Linked DNA regions of Alligator mississippiensis. The main gene of each other region encodes a partner of the protein of the gene in region 2 in a complex. Links are inferred from orthologs where the notes say so. Each region holds a gene or a part of one and is shown on either strand. Other genes may lie near its edges. The genes, in order: NUMB and YWHAH.

Evidence for each region.
Region 1: the proteins of YWHAH (region 2) and NUMB are in contact, whole or in part, in a crystal structure (PDB 5YQG), measured with the Mus musculus proteins. The link is inferred for Alligator mississippiensis from reciprocal best matches to the Homo sapiens genes YWHAH and NUMB. Residues at the interface, in NP_035868.1 of Mus musculus: Arg57, Arg132, Tyr133, Leu177, Asn178, Val181, Glu185, Ile222, Leu225, Asn229; in NP_001129547.1 of Mus musculus: Gln274, Gly275, Ser276, Phe277.

The regions. Positions count from the first base shown.
Region 1 is NC_081825.1:236,383,555-236,394,904, reverse strand, and holds the start of NUMB (protein numb homolog), read left to right. Parts: upstream 1-6,557; 5' UTR 6,558-6,634; intron 6,635-11,350. UniProt on the Homo sapiens protein: Regulates clathrin-mediated receptor endocytosis. Plays a role in the process of neurogenesis.
Region 2 is NC_081833.1:20,143,777-20,154,416, forward strand, and holds the start of YWHAH (14-3-3 protein eta), read right to left. Parts: upstream 4,480-10,640; 5' UTR 4,292-4,479; coding exon 4,205-4,291; intron 1-4,204. UniProt on the Homo sapiens protein: Adapter protein implicated in the regulation of a large spectrum of both general and specialized signaling pathways. Binds to a large number of partners, usually by recognition of a phosphoserine or phosphothreonine motif.

The DNA.
Region 1 (11,350 bases), on a different chromosome or scaffold from region 2:
GAGTTTGGTAAGGATTAGAAATGGGATTAAATCCAACACTACAGAATTTCACCAGCCCTTGTCCCCCTGAAAGGGCAGTTTGACAATTATTCTGCAACCTGGGTTAAAACACTATATCAAGAGTAGCTCAACTTGGAGTTCTTGCAAAAGAACCAAATGCTGAGAATCCTTAGCCTTCATGGAAGCACTGTGCACTATGAATGACTCTGGTGAATTACTTTGGTACTTGAGGCTCCTATTCCCTGTCTTAAACCAATCACAAAAGCTGTAAATACTCATATCAGTGTAGGCACCACTGGGTGCAAATCAGAAGTTAAGTGCTATCCTGGTTGTTTTCCTCCATGTGCTGATATTTTAAGGAAAGTTTTCAAAGGAAAAGAGTAATCCAACTTAAAGTAGTTGAAATAAATAAAGGGAAAGGAGCACAACATTCCTGTGAATTAATAGGTGGTCGTCAGCAGCTGCTTGCTCATACATACTAGCAACTGGGGGCTCAATTAAACATTCTAATTAGAATTCAGCACAATATAACTCTGGTTTTATGAGCATATAAAACACGTTGCCAAGAGCCACACACATTTTATTTAAGAGGACATAAAAATGTGGGGTAACAGCTTACTAAAAAGCCACAAGTGCCTTCTGAACAGAAAAAGAAATGCCACTTTGAAGAGAGTTAGGGGTATATTTGTTTTGTGACTCCATTCAACTCGCCTCCCCAAGAATTGTAGTCTTGTAATGCAACCCTTAAACCATGCAAGGACTGATCATGCTTGGGTTTGAGTGACCTTCACAAATGGGAGCAGAAGGTGCATGGTATCTGGTGGGATTGGGCTTGTGGTTAGTCTAATTTTTCACTCTCCATGTGATTGTTCAGCATAATGCAAATTGCTTGGCACATCCTCTTTATTTCTGGCAAAGCATTAATGTAAATCAGTCACTTTTAGAAAGTCAAATTAAGTTTAATTCTTTTTCTCATTATTACTTTGTTGGCAACCTGAGCTCTGCACTGTCAATTTTGCTTTAGTGCCAAAAGCAACACTCATTATGGAAAAAGAGCATTTTAAGCCTGCAGTGATAGGTTTTCGTATACCAAAACCCTGACAATCCTGATCTCCATTCAGCCCAATTACATCCACTATGTCAGCATTGTAAGGACATTGGGCAGGATTGTGAAACCTTCTCTTTTAGCTGTAAAGTCCACAGCCAGATAACAGGACTGAGAGCTAACTCAAAAGACTGTTTCTCAAGAGCTGTTTTCCAGCCCCTCTCATCAGGGTGAATACACTCACTCACTGAAGCATCTTTCAACAGAAATCTTGGCCTACCTCCAACTGCCTCTCTCTTTTCAGTGATTTCCTCCTCCTCTCTCTGTTTGTGGTCTTCAGTCCTAGTTATCTTGTACACAGAGCCTTACTGAGAAAATGAACTCTCCCAAAATCTGAACAATCCAATTGATATTAATTTATAAAAATAATCATTAACAGGCCCAGGGACCCTGTGAAACAACTAGATTGGACACAAGAAAAGCACAAACAACTCGGCTTCTCCCTCCTCCTCCAAATTAAAGTAAAATACATAGAAGGTTGTAAATTGTTTTTATTTGATGTTTCAGTTTTTCTTAAATTGGAAGTCAGTTTTAGCAAGCCTGCAGTGATACGAGGTTGAAAGTTAAAACTGGAGATAGATGATTCTACTCACATGTTTTGTACTATTATTTCTCATTCCCAGTGGGATGCTGCAGCTTATTTGGGGGGCATTTTTAGGGGTATTTTTTATATTTGTGATACACACGATCTAAGATTTGGTAATATTAAGCAGATACCATCTGCAGTATCTCTGTAGCCAGTGACTAAACACAAAGCTGCAGACTCTGAGAGTCCCAACCTTCATGCTTTTCACTGGAGGGAGAAGGAATAAGTGTGCATGAGAGGGAAATCCATATAATAAAATGAAAGAGAAGAGAAGCTGGATGAAGTAATTGCACTATAGGATTACCTTGTGCATGCACAATTGAGACAAAGGGTACAATCAAGCTGCCCTCCCCCATCCATCCTATGTGTAGTACCAGCACAATCTTTTCATGGGCACAAACCATGCTCTTGACAATCTATTTGGGCAAGGCTTTTTCTCCTAATAACTATTCTAAAAGATTCAGACTATCTTCCTCCCATCCCTTCTGTATTAACCATGACCAATGATGCATTACATTGCTTTGTTCATAAAATGGATTTTGGACCCCTTTCAAAATGCAAAATCTACTGCATACCAATTTGTCGTTTACTCCTTCAATAAGTTCCTAACAGAAGAAAATGTCCTATGATTTCACTGATTCCTGTATGACATGACTATATAATTTTATTTATACTGAGGATTTTCTGACATCCTTCCATGCTCTGTCTAGCAGTACAGTATTAGCAAGGTGGAAAATTCAGTGCAAACAGGATGCATGTGTTTTAACAAGCACATCATTGAGTTCTGTTCAGAGCAATATAGGAAAAAACATCATTAACTTTCTGTCCTGTCTTTCACCTTTGCTAATACAGGTGGGGCTGTGCTGATGCTACAGAAACATTGAGAAATGTTAGGAAATTCTTGGGGCCTGTTTGAACATACAAAGCATGTTGCTTTATACCTGTGTAGTCAAAGTAGTACAATTCTTTCTGGACGTACTTATACTGTTAAAAGTATAGCATACTGTGTATGCTAGTATAGCTTATCCCTATAAAGAATGAAAGAATGATAGAGCATCCTGGCCCTCATTACGTCATACACAATGAGATTACATAAGTTAGATTTATTTTGTAACGCAGAGGGCCAGTCAGAGAAAACTAAGGTGAGCCATATCAATATCTGGTTCACTGCAGTGAAAACGTGGGGCTTGTAAAATAATAGTAAATTCCTAAATTATAGAATCCTTAGGAGAAATGGTACAGATTTTATTTCTTCCTTTGTAGCTATGGAAAGGTCTAGAGTTAAACTGAATCAATTCACTTCTGCTGGGTAGAAGTAAGCAGGACTCAAGGAACTGAGTCTACAACCCTCCAGAACCCGTGAAGCTCCACTCTATTGTGATTGTTCCTAGGTTGATGCTTTTGGGACAGGGCAGGAATAAAAATTGGGTGGAGTTTTTGGATTTGCTATGTAGACCCTGCTAGCCATTCATAACCCCTAGAATTCATAGGTTATCGTGGGGCTGTCCAACCGACAGATCCCAAGGGGTTAAACTACAGTCCCTGGACTCCTGATCCAAGTGATAACTCCTCCCTTTGTTCTCTTGCTGCTGTTGCCAGAGTCCCAAGCCTCTCCCTTCCTCCTCCAGCTTCCACTGCCTGCCCCCACCCCTGGAGCAGTGAGGCCAGTGGGGCTGAGGGACCCCATAGCTAGAGGGCTCAGGGGACTTGGGGACCTCACACATGTTGGAGTTGGTGGGATGCAGTGGGAGTGGCCCACTGTGCAGCAGTAGGGGACTATCACATCCGTGCATGTAGGGGGTCTGCATAGCAAGGCATGCCTATGTGGTGGGGCTATGGTACACTGGGGGCACATGCACTGTGGGGAGCTTTCCCAGTGCATTGTGGGCCCATGCAGTGCAGCAGGGGGGCTTGCATGGTGCAGTGTGCAGCCCATGCGGCATGCACTGGAGGTATGTGACCTACACAGTGTGTGACTGGGGTCCGGTGACTCCTGCCCATTCAGAAATTGGACAGTCCTAGGTTACTGTATCATCAGGTCTTGCGCCTGACATTAGGCCTTGGAGATGGATTTGTTGTCCTGCATCCTTGGAAACCCTCTCCAGGAAGCTCATCTATAGGCTGTAGGAATTGGCCCCCTGACCATCATAATGAGTGAGAGTGTGGTTTAATTCAAGACTTCTTTTATGGCTAGCTTTCCTTCATCCTCCCTCATGTCCTCTTTTCCCCATCTCAGTCATTAGTGGCTACCTAGGGCAAGTCAGCAGGCAGCAGCATTAACAGAACCAAGAGAATAGCTACAAGCAGGTACATTAAAAAAATGCAGATATGCTTGGAGATAGGCATATATTTGGACTTTATCGATTAAAACTGTAATGTATTTCTTTGACAGTAGTGTCCTTGGTTTGTCCTTACCAGTTCATGGCTACATCACATGTGAAAGTTGAGGTCACTTGTAACATGACAATCTTTCTCTTGGAATGAAGGTTTAAAGCTCAATACTTTATCTCAAGTTCTATGTCAGCAACAGAGAGTCCAGAGTCTAGCTTTGGTAAATATGAGGAAGAGCTAAATTAAAGCCACCTGGAACATAACATATCTAAGGAGCTATTCAGGTCACAAACAATGTTAGGCTTGTTAGGCTTCAAAAAACCTTAAGATCAATGCAAACATTCCCTTAATTTTTAAACATTTTTAGTTCAAGCAGTTTAAATATATTTTAACACATACTGAAGTTATACACTGGTGAGTGTGTGAAAACAGCAGTGCGGAAGTAACTAGAGATGAGTGTAAAAAGAAGTAGAACTAACCAGTTTATTTTCACTCACCAAGCTGAGTCATATGTAAAAAGAGGGGAAAAAATAGATTTCTGCTTTCAGTGTTGATAGTCTAACAAAAGGTGATTTTGTGGTTGAGTCACTTGCTGAGGCTCAGAAAATCAGAGTTTACTTCTCACTTCTGCCACTGACTTCGTATGTAATGATGAACAAGTAATTTAGCCTAAGTTTTAAATATGGATATTGGTTTTAGTTTGCCTCATTTGTGGATGCCCACACCGAAACACCTGAGCTCTGATTTCCCATTCCTCCATTCCTTTATTTGATTCAGAAAAAGGGGAAAGAAGAGCTTTAAGTAACCTTTGCATTTCCTGTTTCTGGGGGAGCTCAAGGCTGCCCTAACTTGTATTTGGATACAAGAGCTGCCCAAGGCCATTCACAGAAGGCAAGGAATTCTTGGCTAGTGCTTCCTGGCTCTATACCTTCTGCATGTGGTTCATTTGGGTGCTGCACCCAAAACACTACCACTGTCACTTCTTGAAGCTGACTTTCCCTACTGAACAGTAGCATAAGTAAATATGGGTGTTGTGGCAGGAGAGTTCTTGCAGGAGGACGGAGGTGGGCCCAGGCTCACACGGTCATGCTCAGCTTCCAGCTAGTTGGCACTAAGGCTCCTTGTCAAAAAGCAAAATGTAAGCAGATTTGTGCCAACTGGGCAGCACTGCCTGGCAAAGATGGTGGGCAACCCTGGAGCTCCTGAGCATCACCAGGCTGCGACAGCAGCAGCAGCAAGCCCCAACACCCTGGTGGGTATCAAAGCTCAGGAGAATTCAGATGCCTAAACTTAGGAGTCCCTTTTCTGCTGAGACACCCCCACGTCTGGACCATGAAACACTTCTTTCTTACGACATTGTAGGATTACAACATTCAGAGATTAATATCTAAATTTGATAACCATTTGGCTGCTTCAAGGGTAGCTGCATGGATTTTTAGATCATCGTTAAAAGGTCTAATTGGGCAATCATTCACAATGTGTTGCATCGTCTAAAAAAATCGCACCACAATCGCAACCCGGATTCTCTTTGGTTCTCCATTTATGGAGCAGGTGTCCACATTTTCCATGAAGTGTCTGGTTGCGATTCAGGGAGGACCAAATCTTTCTTGGTAGGTCAAATCCTAGCTGGGGAATTGTAGGGTCACTGACAATGTATTTCTGTGGTAGGCTGGTATTTGCCCAAGCTTCCCTCCATTGTTCTTTGGTGCTCTTGTTATCATCATAGAGCTTCTTGGCATATTTCCAGAAGGGTTTTCTAGATTTGAGTCTATCCAGGGGTGGCGTAGAGATGTCTTTGTTGATTGGGAGGTTTGGGTCACAATAGCTTTATGGTAGTCTCTCACACATGTGGTCTTGCGGCCGAGCTGTGGGAGAGCAGTGTTTGCTGGGCCTGGGAGCCGTGGCAATGGCGTACTTTTAGTGTTCCTGATATAATCCGCATAGCTACAGCTCTAGGCAAAGCCCAAAAAAGGGTTTCAGTTGCATGGGGCCCTTTCCTTCTATACCGGCATCAAGCTGAAATCCCTCATGCTGCACTTGGCTAGGCGCAGGTTCCCGAGGGATGAGGCGGGCACAGCGCCCCCTCTCCGCAGAGGCGCGGGAGAGGCTGCGCGGAGCCCACGAAGGGTTAACTCGGCCCAGGTGCTGTCTTCTCTGCCCCTCCCTCTCGCCTGTGCGCCGTGCAACCAACCTTGCCACCGCCACCAGTCTGCCGACCATGCTGCTGAAGGCGGGAGGGAAGGGGGCAGGATCAGTGCAACAGCTGGCAGCCCTGGCAGCCTATCTTACCTCTCAACCTCAGCAGCTTGAGCCAATCCGGAGGACGAGCGGTGAGGGGGGGGGAGGAACGGGGGTGGCAAAGCCCCCCCCCACTTCGAGTCTACCCTCCCTTAAAGTGAATAGGTGGGTACTAAGTGGGGTGGGCGGGGCCGAGCCGTGACGAGCAGGCGCGCCGAGCAATCGAAGCCAACCAGGCGGGCGCGGGCGACCAGTAGGTTGCGCGGCTGGGCGGGGGGCGGGGACTGTTGTCAGGGGGGCGGTGGCAGCGGCGGCGCTGGTGTTGGGTGGCGAAGGGCGGCCGAGGCGGCGCGGCGGGGAGGCGGCGGCGGCAGGTGAGTGTGGCCGGGGCCGAGACCGAGGCCGAGTCGCGGGGCAGGATTGGGTCCGCTGGGGGGGGGGCGGCGATATCCAGCCCGCGGTTCGGGGGCGCCGCCGCCGCTTCCTGCCCGGGGCCGCCCGGCGCCGTCCCCCCCGCTCTGGCCGGTGCCGCGCTGGGCCGGGCGGTGCCCTCGGGGCCGGCAGGTGAGGGGCCGGGCCGGGCCGGGCCGGGCCAGTGGGGAGGCTGGCGCCCGGCTCCGGCGGAGAGTGGGGCCGGCTCTGCCGGCTGGCAGCGGTCCCGGCCGCGGCCTGCCCGGCCGGTCCCGCACCACTCTCCGCCTCTTCCCGAGCTCGTGGCAGCTGCTCCGGGCTCCGGCAGGCAGCAGGGCCGGGCCGGGCTGCGGCCGCTGCCGACGCCTCTGCTGCAAGCGGCTGTTCAGGGAGGTCCCTGCGCCTCCCCGTGTGTCCCCCGCGGCCTGGGGACCGTAACAATGGCCCGGCCTGGCCGCAGCATTGTTCTCTGGCGCAGCGGAGCCGCGCGCCCTCGGGCTGCGGGCGGCCGGGCGGCAGCTTCCCACGCACCCGCGGGCTCGTAGTTCCAGAGGAAGAGGAAAAACAACGCTCGCCTCTCTTATCCCCTCCTCCCCCCCCAGTAATCCACGGAGGTTTTCCATTTCTTCATTACTTGGCCCTTCTCCATGGAAACAGCCTCTAAAAAATTGGGATCAATGTGAATTTGTGTCCAGAAACCTGAATCAAATTAGGGCCTTGTGGTCACCCTTGTATGTAAATCTGAGAGCTTTGGTTACTGAATTGATCCTACGGCAACATTCATTCATCTGTAACTGAATTAAATGGGGGCTTGAAGCCTCAGTGAAAGCTCTGGTTTGCAAAACTCGAAACATTACTACACACTCGCACTCTTGTACACACTCTCACATCCAGGCCTGCACGCACACTCTCACATGGCCACGCGCTCAGTCACATTCACACTCTCTCGCATACGTGTGTGCTTTTTCCTGCCTTTTAGGATGGACAGACCCTTGGTATCAGTCATTTAATCTGTTATCAGCCACCAGTTTGCTGTTCATAGTGACAACTATGTTGTTAACTCTTATTTCTCTTTTTAACTGCAAGTAGTGAAGGCTGAAAGAGACTCTAAACAAGACCACTTAAAAAGGGCTGGGGTATTTTCTATCGTGATACCATGAAAATGTCTTTCTGATACTGTGGCAGCAATTACCAATCCCAAGCACGTAAAAAAAAAAAAAAAGTTATATGGTTTTGTGGTCTACCTTTAAAATGACACTTTTGGGTTTGACTAGCTTTCTGGTCTCTTGCACCTTTATAGTAGATTCTTTTTCACAGCCATCCAGGCTAGAAACCGTTTTTTCCTTAGTGAAGGCTGAGGCTTGCATAATTGCTTGCACCCATGCACTGGGGGCCAGACTTGTGATATGAATGCAAGGGTTGACACCAGCCCTGTGATAAGAACTCTTGTCTCTTGCCTATAGTTGCTTATACTGACTTTCTCTTGTTGGTGCAACTGCATTAGTCCTGGAAAACAATTGTGCTTTCCCAGGGTAAGTGTACCTTATAAAGGCTTTGTCATTTGTCTTTGTGGAAAAAAGATGGGTTTACAGAACATCAGAAGTTTGGAGAAAAACTAGTTGGTCTATAAAGATTTTGAGGAAGCCATCTTCAGCTTGTTCATTGATCTGGTAGCTGTCTTTGGGCAAGTTTTAAAAGTTGTTGCTTGTTCCTAGCGCAAACATGGCTATTGTTACCTGTCTGAGTCAGTGGGTTTATTTTAATCTGTTAGCTGATCAAGGCAAACTCCAGGCACCAGTGTGCCTTTTACCTGGGCTAGCATACATTAAAACTATGACCTGTTCATCTATTTTACTCACAATGCTTCTTGTCAAAAGCTTTGTGATTAAAAAGTGTTTTGAGGAATCTGATAATTTTGAAGGGTGTGTTATCTCTATACCAGCAATTGATTGAATGTGGGTGGTAGATGTTTCGGGCCCCTTTTTGAGGATGGTGTGAAGCCAAGCCAAGCAGTCATACCATTGCTCTAGAACAGGGGTCAGCAACCCCCGGCACATGTGCTGAGCATGACACGCAAGGCCATTTTGCTTGGCACACCACCGCCAGCCTTGGTGCTACTGTCAGCCTCGGAGCTCAGGCTGCTCCCAGCAGGCAGCTGGGAGGCTGCAAGCCGTGCTGCAACGGGCTCTGTGGGCTGGCTGCAAACAGCTGTTCCAGGCTCTGGCATGTTGACACTCCAGCATCTTCCATGTTAGACGTGTTTTTTTCAACACTCCGGCCAAAAAATGTTGCCTACCTCTGCTCTAGAACCAGAAGTAAACCTTAGCTTTTATGTGTGTTCTTAAGAAATTGCTTTGGGTCTGTCTTCAGAGTCAAATCTTTGAGTCTTCAGATTTTGAGGTGAAATTTTTATCAACTTTAAATCATGGTCTAAAAGGTCATCAGCAGAAAGATTTTGGATTTGCATAAAGCAGTTCAGAAACTTCTGGATAGCCTGCCATTTCTTGAAAAAATTAGACTTGATTTTTTTTGATGTGTTGGATCATAAATGCAGCCCTTTTCTGGCTGCTTATGTGTTAGTTCATGTGCCAAAAGAATCTCTGAGTTGTTTTGGATAGATAGCTTGTTGGCTTGGGCATCTTTAAGTGCAAGTCTAGAAAGCACAAATGCCATCAAGCCTGCGAAGATGGAAATTGTATATTAGGACATTGGGCCAGGAATAGTTTCTAGCATATGATAGCTAAACTTGACCTAAATGTGACTGCCGCTTTTAGTCCAAACAAGCCTCAAGGGTAGATCCTGGGCAAAAATGTGGGCTTTTGGGGGTTTGTTTATTTTTTGATTCATTGTATTTGTTTTTACTTGAGTTAGCTGACCTTGATTAACACTTTTTAACATCTCTTATGCAACTTGTCTAGTTGTCTAGTTGTGGCTTTTATCTAGGTAGTCATTGTATTTAAACATGCCATTTTCTTCTAGTCTGCACAAACCCAGAGAGGCTTTGACTTTGTTAAAAGGTTTCTGTGGAGCTTTAGGAAATGACAGGCTGCTGCAGGCCACCAATCCCTCCTCCACCTCCTCTGCCATCTCCCCACATACCACCAACAGAGGTTTAGACCCAGTTTCTTCATTGGCTTTTCCCTCCCTACTATGAGAGAATGCTGTTACTGCAGGGGGAGGTGTCAGCATGGGGGGAGGAGGGTTTGTGGGGGGAGTTGGACAGCAGTTACCTGGTGTAAGGAACTTTTGGTACCTGCTTGTTCCCTTCCCCACTGCAGCTGCCACCACTTGTCCCCATCGCTGAATACTGCCAAATCCTATTGCCCTTAGCAATGAGAAACTGTAAATTCTGTGTTGAGAATTATAGCTGCTGCCTTAGAGGAGCTGCTTTAACCCCTGACTACTGACCACACTGACACCTTCCTGCATAGGAGTGGCATCCCCTGTTAGGGAGAGGGGAAGAGTCTGACAGGGGGAACAGAGCTACTGGATGCGACCCCCATGAGTCTCCAGCCACTCCAGGGGCTCTGGGGGACTCTGCTGCAGGTTAGATCCAATTTCTTTGTGGGCTGAATCCAGCCTGTGAGCTGCAGGCTGCTGACTCCTGGTCTAGAACATGGAGCTGCTGACTGTCCCAGGATAACCATCTAACCCTCAACTGAGCCTTTCCTTTAACAGTTGATCTCTTCTAGCTCTGTCTACAACAAATTTCTCCAGGGAGTTGTTTACCTGAGATTAGGGAAGATGGCCTGTCTTCAAGGGCACCTTACTTCTAAAGTGATGTAAAAAATGATTCCTTACCACCATGAAGGCTGGTAGATAGATTTACACTGTACAGATGGTACAGATTATTATTTTTTGTCTTCAGAGGCTGACAACAAATATGAGAGTTTGAGGACACCATTGTGTTGTACTTCTATACAAATATTATTCGTCATGGCATTGAGAAAGTTTAACTGTAGCCTGGAGTTTTTTTTCTGTTTTTCTGGAACTCCATCATCAGAGAGAGAGAGTGAAAGTGTGTGTGTGTGAGAGAGAGATCAAATCAAACCAGATTTTATTTATATATATATTTTTTGTGTGTATATGAAAATAAAGTAAATGACTGGTCAGGTATCAACTCCCTGAGAAATCTGGTTTGATTTCTTGCTGTATTCCCCTTGTTTTGTTCCAAAGGAAGAGCTGAACTATCTTCCTCTTGCAAAGAGTAATTGATACTCTATATGATTTCTGCTGATTTCTATATTATTTTTTATGGCTGCACAGTTTCACATTCCTGCAGGAGTGTATTGTGACTCAGTGGTCCTTAAGTTTCTCAGTAATAATGTACATAAAATGAACTGTTGTGTGAGAGGGGAAAAATATATTGATGAGTCAAGGTAATCTAATAAAGTGGGCATGTAGACCTCTTTTTTGCAGAGCCAGTGTGTTTATGACTCATTTGGAAGTAAGCTTTCCACAACTTTATTGCTGCCTGGTTTTTATTTGTGAGACAAAAAGATGCTTGGTAAGGGTATGTTATATCAGTAATGCTAAAATTTGTTTGGAGTACTTTAAAGATAATTTATTTAATCTTTTCTTGCTTAAATCCCTAAATAATTCTAAAATGCTAAACTTTCAATCTCTCTCTTAATCCACTGTTTAAAAATACATAAAAAAGTGAAAGTAAATATGCATGA
Region 2 (10,640 bases):
TCTAAAATGTTTTCCCAAAGTAAAATTTACTCTACTTTTTTCTAACATCAGAAATTCCAGTGTCACCTGCCTCAGACTATAGATAGCAAGAGAACAAGAACATTCCAGATACCAATAAAACTAAACCTGATTAACAGATAGAAGTGACTCATTCTCTACTAAGCCTATTTTATTGATGCCTATCAGTTAACTATGACACCACCATTTTTCTCTCATCTGGAACCTAGCCACATGAGAACATTTTTCCCCCCAGAGTATCTACAAATCCAAAAATTAATACTGTTCTTGGACATGAATAATCCCAATAATGATCATAATCAGATTTTTTTTTTTTAATTCTTACTCTTTGTTTTAGTATAACAAGTTCTTTTTAGAGTATTGGTGTGTATTTATCAGTATACACAAATCTGACCACACAGCTAAAGCATTGTCCAAATGGCTAACTGTAAGGTTGTAGTAAGCACACACATTTAGAATTACACAGATTTTATGAAGATCTGATTTACATCATTAGCAACCTGGGTCAAGTGAACCCGCACCTTCACCTCAGCTTGTCTAACACTGAGAAAGAAGAATCTGAGACCCCCAAACTACCAGTAGCTTCTGCCCAGATGAGGCTGTTCAATGTAGTAAGCTAAGGATTTTGGTACTCCCACCCAGTTTTCTAACTCAGTTTGAAAGCTACAAGAAGTTTCATATAGGTGGGTATCTAACAGGACTTTCATAGTGCCAAGTTGCATACATTTTTTATTTAGTTCTTAAGCAATGAGCAGAGACCCTTGGGCCTGCATGCATGCATATATAAGCAACTCAGCTGTATTAGGAGGCTGTGGGTGCAGCAACAGAAAGCAAGTGACTTTCAAGGAAGGTGGACAGTACAGAATACAATGGCATATTGTACTTTAATACAACCAAAATCTTCCTCTTAGTCTCACCATCTCCTTAAGGAGGTAAAAACACTGACTCAGAGGCAGAAAGTCAGCCTCCTTCCCTTTCTCTACTTTTTTATGCATAGCCATCCCTTAACAGAGGCTTTTCAGTGAGTAAACTTACCCCCAACCTGATGGTCCTCAACATCAGCTTTCGTAACTACTGTGAAAAGGAACAGCACTAATATGATAAAGCCATTGAGGGAAGTCTTCATTGCAGTGTTAACTTAGACATTAATACATATCCCACCCACATATAAAACTCTCACTCAAGTCTAGAGGTACCTTCAACCCAGGTTAGCTGGCCCAGCAGGAAGGGTATAGCTGTTGTCATTCATGCTAGTAAAGGTGACTTTGTGGAGAGAACAGAGGTTGCTGACACAGTCCTCCAATACTTCCCAACAGTTCCCTCCCCACCCCTGCTCCACACCTTGAAGGACAGTTAAAAAACAAACTGGTCAACTGCAATACTAAGAACCAGAGGGTCTGTGACCCTAGAAATCCTGACATGAGGGCAAGTAATTTAGGAATGACTTTGGGCTGCTCACATTCATCCCAGGTTAAGTAAAGTAACAGTTACTGAATTGAACTGAACAGTGAAAAATGCTTAGTATCAAACCAGCATGAAGCACTCTCCAAGGCATACCCTTGCTCACTCACTCCTCCAAAGATACATGCATACCTCAGTAGCACAAAGGGACACCAGTACGGGAAAGAAAACAGAACCAAAGGGTAGAACACTGCACATATAGTAGATTAAAATAAGTTTGAGGCATTCATAGATAGAAGAAACTTTGAAGTCAGAACCCTAAATATATTTAAAAGGCATACCCATACTATACTCACCAATGCAAGAATTGATACATTTCGTAATCTGGTATGCATAATTTAACTGCTTTTTCTAATTACAACCAATAGTTTATTTCATTCTCAAAAATAGGCTAAATAAAGGAAGTGCTTAATGTAGCCCTGAATCTTTATATGCATAGAGCATTTTTCAGACAAAAGTTTGAAGTGCAGTACCTGCACGTGAAGCGTACTGTTATGTATTCCCTCAGTCTCCCCCCACTCCCACCAACGGCTGCTGATCAAACAATAAAATTTGAGAATTTCAAAACTGAACTCTGGTACAAAATGTAATATTATCTCAATTGGCTGAAGTCCCAGAGCAGGGTTTAAGGCAAAGAAGATGCCACACCCCTTGGAGGAATGCCATTTTACCGTGGTAGAACATTTGCTTGCACTTCTCATGGATATATCTTTAGGTTGCAGCTTTTTTATTTCAAATGTTATGGGTAATATTCAGAAATGCTGCTTGCCAGAGTATATATTGGCAGGTTTCTTGATCTTCACTCTTTTACAGTTTGGAAAATACATTTAAATGAGTAATTCATACTAAGTACTGCATACTCTATATTACAGAAGAAATATTTCCTCCTTTAAATATGTCTACTACCTAGTGGCCCTCCCATTTCCTGCCCCCCATCCCTAAGAGTGTTTTTTCTAAACAACTGTTCGCACTGCAATTAGAGGAAATCTTAGGTGTACAGAATTTTAAAAGTGTCCACATAATGCAGTGATTTGCACAAGTTTTAAAACCTTCCTTCACTTACTCTCACAAAATCCACTGAAATACATAAAAGACAATTGAGTTGAAAATTATGGACAGTTGGCTTCTGATAAATTCATCACTAGACCATTATTTGCTATTTCCTTGGAACAGAAACTTACCCAGATTTTACTGCATGAACTGCATGCATACAAGAAACTGCAGTTACTTGATCAGTTTAAATAAGAGAAACACTCTTCCATCACCCTATTCATTTTGTTCCAAATTCAACCTTTGAAAAAAGAGCCCCGTTAAAGAATGAATCAATTAGCATGTTCCATTGAAGCAAATATTTGACTTCAGAGTTCTAAAGTAAAAGAAACTGTTGCCATCTATGCAGTATTTGTAAAGGAAACATATCAAATGAAGAGCAATTTTGAAGCAAGATACAACATAAAAATGTAAAAATATTTTCAGTTTAAAAGGGATTATCGGAAAAAAAGAAAACACATTGAACCAACTACATTTTATTTGTAGGATTTCCCGAAGGATGGTCAGTTTATTGTGTTTGTTTCCCATGTTCAAGCTTTCCTTTGAAAGCAGCTCCCTCCTCCCCCTTCCACTTATAGACATTAGGCTACATACATTTCTCAGATTTAATCATGGAAACTTTCCCGGATCACCACTAGACTTCACTAGAACTTGCCTTTTAGCTTGTTCGAGAATGGAACGTCTCACCTGTAATTAAAGCCATTTCCGAAACGGCCTAGACTTGCTTCCAATAGCAAGCCTGGGTGTGCCATTACTACGCTCTCTCACATCCTGTGTAACTGCTTGCTATATTACAGAGACAGCTGAACGTGCTTTTGATCAGGGATGAGATGAGCTCCAGGGCAGGCTGGGCTACACGTGAAAGCTATCTATAAAAGGTGGCAACAAAAGCCACAATAAAAAAAAAAAAAGCTTTTTTTTTTGGATTGTAATATAGGGAGACCTAATTTTAAGACCAGCTGGTCCTGAATGGATTGTCTTTTGCTATAACATGACCTCCTTTGTGAAGGAAACGGTCATTTATACTGCACTACCCACAAGCAAGGGCAGAGGGTGGGGGTGTCATTTTGATGGGGGGGCCTTTGGGTGCTGCCACAACACAGGTCACTGCAGGTGTAAACCTGAAGTAATGAGGTTGCTAGAAGCTCATTAAAAATAAATATGAAAAGAAAACAGGAGAGGAGAGGAGAGCCCTGCTGTGCGATCAGGCCGGCGAGGAAGAAGAGGTGACCACACGGGACGTTTGGGCGCTCTGCCATTTTATTGCACGCTGCGCTACAGCCGCGACACGCGATGCACGAGCTCCGCCGCTGTCCGAGAGCCGCCGCCGCCGCCGCCCAGGCCGCGGACCGGACCGCACGAGACGGACGTCGGGCTACGGAGAGGAGGGAAGAGGCGGATCCGCGGCGGCTGCCCGGTCCCGGAGCGCTGCCATGTTGAGCGAAGCCCGCCCGCGCCTCCTGCCTCGGCGGTGCAGCAGCATCGAGAAAGGAGCAGCCCTGCCCGCCGGGGGCTCCCCAGCACCCCCCGCCCCCCGCCAAGGTCGAGACCGGGCTCCCCCGGCAGCGCGCGGGAAGGTGCCGGCAGCGGGCGCGGCGCGGCGCGGATCAGAGCGGGGCCGGGCCGGACGTGGGGGCCCAGCCCCGCCTCAGCGCCGCCTCCCGGCCCCACTCACCGCCTTCATGGCCGAGGCCATGTCGTCGTATCTCTCCGCCTGCTCGGCCAGGCGGGCGCGCTGCAGCAGCTGCTCGCGGTCCCCCATGGCGGCGTCCGTGGTAGCGGCCGGGCCGGGCCGGGCGATGGGGGAGGGGGGGCGCTGCCTCGCGGGCTCCGCGACCGTTGGCTACCGTTGGCGCCGCGCGCTCAGGGACCGTTGCCGGGCGGCGACCGCGCGCTCGCGTCCCTCGGCAGCGTGTGCGGCGAGTGTGCGGCACCTCCCCGGCCGGCTCCAGCCCCGCGCTGCGCCCGCCCCCCCGCGCCTGCGCAGTGTGAGGGCAGCGGGCGGGGGGGCGGGGCGCGGGCCGGCCCGAGGGGGGGGTGCTGCTGCTCCCCCGCGTTCTATTTCAAGGTGACGTCACTTGCTATAAATAGCCGGGCCGGAGAACCGGCTGGGAGCTGCGCGCATGCGCTATGCGAGTGCTGCATTTTACTGCTGCAAAGGTGGAGGTGGGAGACGGGGAGAGGGCATTGCAGAGCAGCGGAGCTGAAGGGAGGAGGCTAGGCCGGGCCGAGGCCATGCTGCTTTGCATGCGCACGCTGGAGGTCGAGCATTGAAGGCTAGTGTTACTCCTTTCCTGAGGAAGGATCTGCCTCCTCGCGCCAAGCCCACTGCCCGCTCAGAAGAGCAGCCCGCTGGGCTGCCTTCAGAGCAGGAGCAACCCCAGCCGCCCAGGTCACAGGGAGCCCTGCCCTGTCTGCCGGCAGCCATCCTACAAAGCACCCTGTGTTGCCACCTGTACGGTTTGGCCGCGCTGTGAATTTTCCTCTTGGTCACGCTCCCTTTGCTCTGTTTTCTCCAGGCTCTGATTGTGTCCATCCCTGCGATGGGCCAGGTCAAAGGAGCCGGAAAGCTTGTCCAATGTCCCCACAGCTATACAGCGGCTCCAATAAAAGACATGAACAACCCTCTGCCTGTCATGGTTTTGCTTGGACATTCACATCGTTTTGTGCTGGACACGCCATCGTGAAGCTGTCCTTTTGGGACAAGATTTTGCCCGCATTTTTTCTAAATTTGGCCCTTCTGCTGGAACAGGTAAACAGCGTGTACCAGCTGTTACCACGTCTCTCCAGCCAGGAGCCCAGTGGGCACATACCAGCCACCATCACAGTACCTGGTGGGACAATTTCCATTTCATCACATATTTCATTTCATAGCAGTTAGATGCTTCATCAAATTAACAAACTACACGGCTTACCTGAAAACTACCTCTCATAGGCACTATTGCATAAATTATACAGCTGCTAGGGCCTTAGCTACCAGAGTCTAGTCACTGGAAATAAATATTACAGTTACTAAAATCAACCCAAAGATAAACTAAATATCTCCATCTGCTTCATGGATCACCAAAATCAGTCAGGAAGACCACTATTTGGATTTTTCTGATCATTTTCCTACTCTATCCCTCAAAAAAAAAGCTCTCAGTGGAATCCCAGGCACTGCCCTGGAATTACAAGTTGTGCCCTGTGACTGTTCTTTAGGGTGATTTTCTATACTAATTAAAAATACATTATTCTTTTTCTAATTCTATTAGAATTCTAATGTTATTCTAATTTTAACTTGCTATTTTAAATCACTGTCTCTATTTTACAGATTGGGAAATTGAGGCACACAATAGTGACAGACTTGCTCAAGGTGATGCAGTGACAGTGATGCAGGCTCTGGACCACACTACACTAAAAGATGACATCAGTGCTTTGCCTGTTAGTCTGAGTGATAGACTCATGGTGATGTTCTGCTCTCATTAATGATACATTAATCTCATATATTCAATGGTATTACACTGCAGAAAGCAAGAGCACAATTCATCCGATAGCATCAACCATGAGTTTTAGTCTTAAATCTGAATTATCTGGCTTTTATGCGGTTAAGTTAGACCACTGCTGCTATTTAGAATAAATACAGTATTTGGTTTTTAAATAGGGCTGGATAAAGGTTATGGCCAATAACAACAAAGTGTAACTTTGCATAATAAATTATCATGTTTAAGGACATAAACTGAGCACTACAAGAGCAAGGAAAGAATTCCCCTATTTTCACATGCAGTGTTGTTCATAAAATCAAGTGCATTGTGGGATTAATTATCCTGTCTTTCCCTGAAGAATCAACCTTGCACACTTTGATCACTTTGGAGGCAGGGTGCTGGAGTTGATAAACCAGCAGTCCTGTGAGGCTTACCAAATCTTGCATTCTGTTTTTTTTTTTTTTTAATATGTGCATTTAAGAGAAAACAGTGGTAAGTGCTCTAAAAAAACCCAGGAAAAATGTAAACCTTCAGTCCAGTCCCTCAGTCAAAATGTCCTTGCAGCTGCAAGGAGTTCCAAATAAGAAGGGCAGGATCATGCCTTGAAAATGGTATGATTAAATTGTGTCAGAGATGTTTTCCTGGTTGACTAAATGGTGACAATATGAAATGGAAGAAACCACATTAAATCCTTAAACTCTATAAATGTTTGAGCCAAACATAAAATTGCATCTTAGGCTAATCTCTAATAATGATTATTCAGCTCACAAATTGTGCCAGCAGTTTTGAAAGCTTGTAGTTTACCTTCCAGTCTTGTAAAGCAGTCTCAGCCTGCTGAGGGAACACAGATTAACAAATATTTTTAAACCCAGTTATATTTATTTATCCAGCAAACCAAATAATCTATTCAACTATTATATGTATGTAAATTTCCCCCAAACACACCTTTTCATGATAGGGCTTTAAAACAAATCACAGCCTCTGCATAACAGACGTTCTTTAGCGTGAAGCAATCTTAAGCATCTCCTTACCCTTAAATCCACAAGATGGCACATCACATGACATCAAATGTCTTGCTTTGAAGTTGGGCACACTTCCAAGTCAGTGGCAAAGGAAAGGCTGAAATGAGTTAACACTTTATCTAGCATTTCTACAGCCTCATTATAGCACACAGGAAGGAAAAATAATATCTAACATGTAAGTGTATGAGGATAAGGACTATCTTCTTGTAATGCATGGTGTACAACACCAGGCAGAATGGAGGTCCAGCCCCTGCTTGATCCCCTTGAGTACAACAATACCAATAAGAAATAATCATTAAAATATCACTAAGAACTTGTGCACTGAGTTTTAAGTTGCCACATAGGGGGACTTGGATATGAGTACCCTGATAAAAATCAGAGTATACATAGAACTACTGACAAACCTTTAACTGAAGCACTGTGTATCATGTAATGTTCTGCAGAACGTTGGGGCTTCCTAGAGAGCTCAGAGACAGGTCTTTTTCCATAGCTCTGTAGTTATGATCCCCCTGGCCCAAGCTCAGATGCCAGGCATTTTGCTGCAGAATTCCAAGATTCCCAGCAGAGCCCAGACATGAAGTCAGAAATCCTGTTCTCATAAAATGGGATTCAGCCTTGTTGACATGGTTACCACACAGAGCATGGAATTCCAGCTGGGGAGACTGCACATTTATGGTGCTCCAAATCCCACTTTCACACAGGGCCACAGCCGTACTTTATTGGAGCATCAAGGCAATGTACAACAATGATATGCCACATTGGGATGGTAAGATACCTTGGTTAAAATTCCCTTTATTCTCTCTGTTCTGCTCTTCATTCAAGCCATTGGAAGATCAGAACTGCAGGGACCATTGGTAAAGAAGAAAAAGGCAGGGAAAGCTGCTGGTACCCTGTCCCTGAACCATCCTCTCCTGCCATTGCTGTTGGATGGCCATCCTCTTTGGCTGCTTTGATCTCCCCCCTTCCTTCCCTGTGCTCTAAAATGCAGCAGCATGGGAGCAGAGCAACAGTGGTCTAATGAGCCTCTGCTGCTGATATTATTGAATCTCTGGAGCAAGCTACCAACCTGACATTAGAGACGTTTCTTCTTGAGGGATTCTAAAAGTTGGAGGAACCATGAGAGGTAAGTCACGGAGCAGAGGAGAGCAAGAAGAAGAGCAGTTGCTGGGTGATGAGGAGGACAGACTACCCAGCTTCCCCACAGAAGTAAAGAGGACAAGAGTGGTAGCTGTGGAGGATGAGATCTGAAGATGCTGGGGATCTGAACTAGAAAAGGTGGGGAATCTTGACTGGGACTGTGAGGATCAGATGGGGCTGCAGGGATGCACTGTTTCACAGCCTATGAGCCATAAGTGTTCTGGTTAAAGCAGGGGCGGGCAAAATGTGGCCTGCGGGGCAGATGCGGCCCGCCAGACTATCCTATCCAGCCCACAGAGCCCCTAAAAAATTTGGAAAATATTTATCTGCCCCTGGCTGCCTGTCAAGCAGCCCTTGATGGCTTGCCAAAACTCAGTAAGTGGCCCTCCACCCAAAATAATTGCTCACCCCTGGGTTAAAGCATTGGCAATACATCTTTATAGTAAAGTGAGTTAATAGCACATCAGGGAGGGAAAGGGGTTGTAATGGTGAGATCAAAGCAGAAGATAGGAGTGGGCGTAGTTTAAGTGTCACACAGGAAAACTGATTCTCTCATAGATCATGTTAGACTGTAATTCAATGGCATATTTCTAGTCAAACCATACATCACTGTTTAACTAGCAGCAGAACCTCCCCTCCCCTCCACACAACCAAGGCACATGTGAAAATGTTCTATTTACCATATTTCACCTTGATAATAATCTGCAAGGTGTTCACACTGAACCTCCCTTGCAACTGAAAAGGACAGATTACACTGAATGGTGAGAAAGATTATATTGCCTGGGTACTGCATTAAAATCTTATGGATCAAGCTGTGAGTTACATAAAGGTGTGCTGTGCCTGCATTCAGCAAATGTAAGGAGGTACTTGGCAGTAGGGAGTGGATTCTGTATGACCAGTGGTCCCTAGTGGAATGGGGTTAGGTCTGCATAGTGAAACCTGCCTGGGGTCACTGCACAATATTTCAAAGTATTAGGAATTTGTATACAGTAGCTCTTTACATGTTCAAAGCCCTGTGCAGCCATGAGTTAATAAATCCTCACAACACCCCTGTGAAATACAATATTTTCAAGCCCTGTTCACTTTAGAGTCCAATGAAGAATGAGCGCTATGTCTGAATAAAAGATTATGGCTGTGCTTTCCCTTGCCAGAATGATTCAGGGATATGCACAGGGGGGTGCAAAGCATGCTCAGTTGTGGAAGGTTTGTGCGAGTGGCAGGAGCACAGTAGCTAATTGAAAGCAGCTTTATCTCTAACTCTTAAAAGGCTGCTTCAGACCACAGTGTTCTCCTCAGTCCTGCCCAGTCAAAGGATTTAGGAGCACATTTTAATTCTTTCTTTAAAAACCAAAAATGACAATCATATAATTAAGCAAAGGTAAGTAACTAGAGATACTAGAAAAACAGGGTATGCCCTTTTTGAAGAAAGTCAACAGAACATCATATGGAGAAAAACAGAAGGAAAATTCCTTCTCCAATTTGTAAAAACCAAAGTAAAAAAAAAAAAAAAGGACACCAAATGTGTTTTTTTTTCCCCAGAGGTGTTCAGTATTTCAGGAGTCAAGGTCAACATCACTCATGCTGGACATGCAGAACTGAAACAGCCTGTTAAAAGAGTTTTTAAATTATTTTCAATGCTATGCAAACTTTAAAACCTAAATATGATTGTTCAACTAAAAAATGGATTACATTTCATGTAAAATTCTTGATTTGGAAGAATGATCCTTAACTGTAGAAGATAAAAGACCTTGGAGATAAGATCAATGAAGGGCAAAGATAAAATGGAATTACTGAGGCCACTGTTTTGAAAAGAAGCCTTTTAGGTGCCCTATCTCAGCTCGATTACCAGAAATGCTCCATTCCTCTCAACACAAGGTCTGAAATGACTCAAGCTGGGCACCCAAAATGAGAATCCAATCCATTTGAAAATGCTGGCAGAAGAGGCAGCTTTGAGGCCATTTACTTAGGGTAGGTCTCTGATCGACCAGTTCAATAGTCATGAAAGAGACGCTGAGGGAGCTAAAAACCAGGAAAGCTCCTTCCCTCCTATCATTAATCCTCTTCAGTGATGCAGTAGATTGAGTTCAGAGAAATCTGACTCGGGTAACTGCAGTGCAAGCATCTCCGCATTGCTTTTATAACCTGGATGGCCCACCTCTAAGAGAATAATGCCTGTTTGGTCTCACTGACCAAGTGAATCCTTACCCTGTCTGCTAGAACTATCAACAAGGAGGTAATTATCAGGGCAATTTTGAGTTGTGTGTCCTTTGGGCAAAAGATGGAAAATGCCCTTCTCATTTCAAAAGGGGGGGGGGTGTCCAACTAAAGAAGAGTTGTTGAAGCTGCTTACAGAATATTATTGTCCCTTTTCTTTGATCATGAAACACTGGATTGGCAGAAGCTAGGCTCATTTTAACATGGAAATGCTGCAACTTTAGCTTTTCTACTAGGGACAAAATCTTTTCCATTCCCAAAGAGGAAGATATTTACC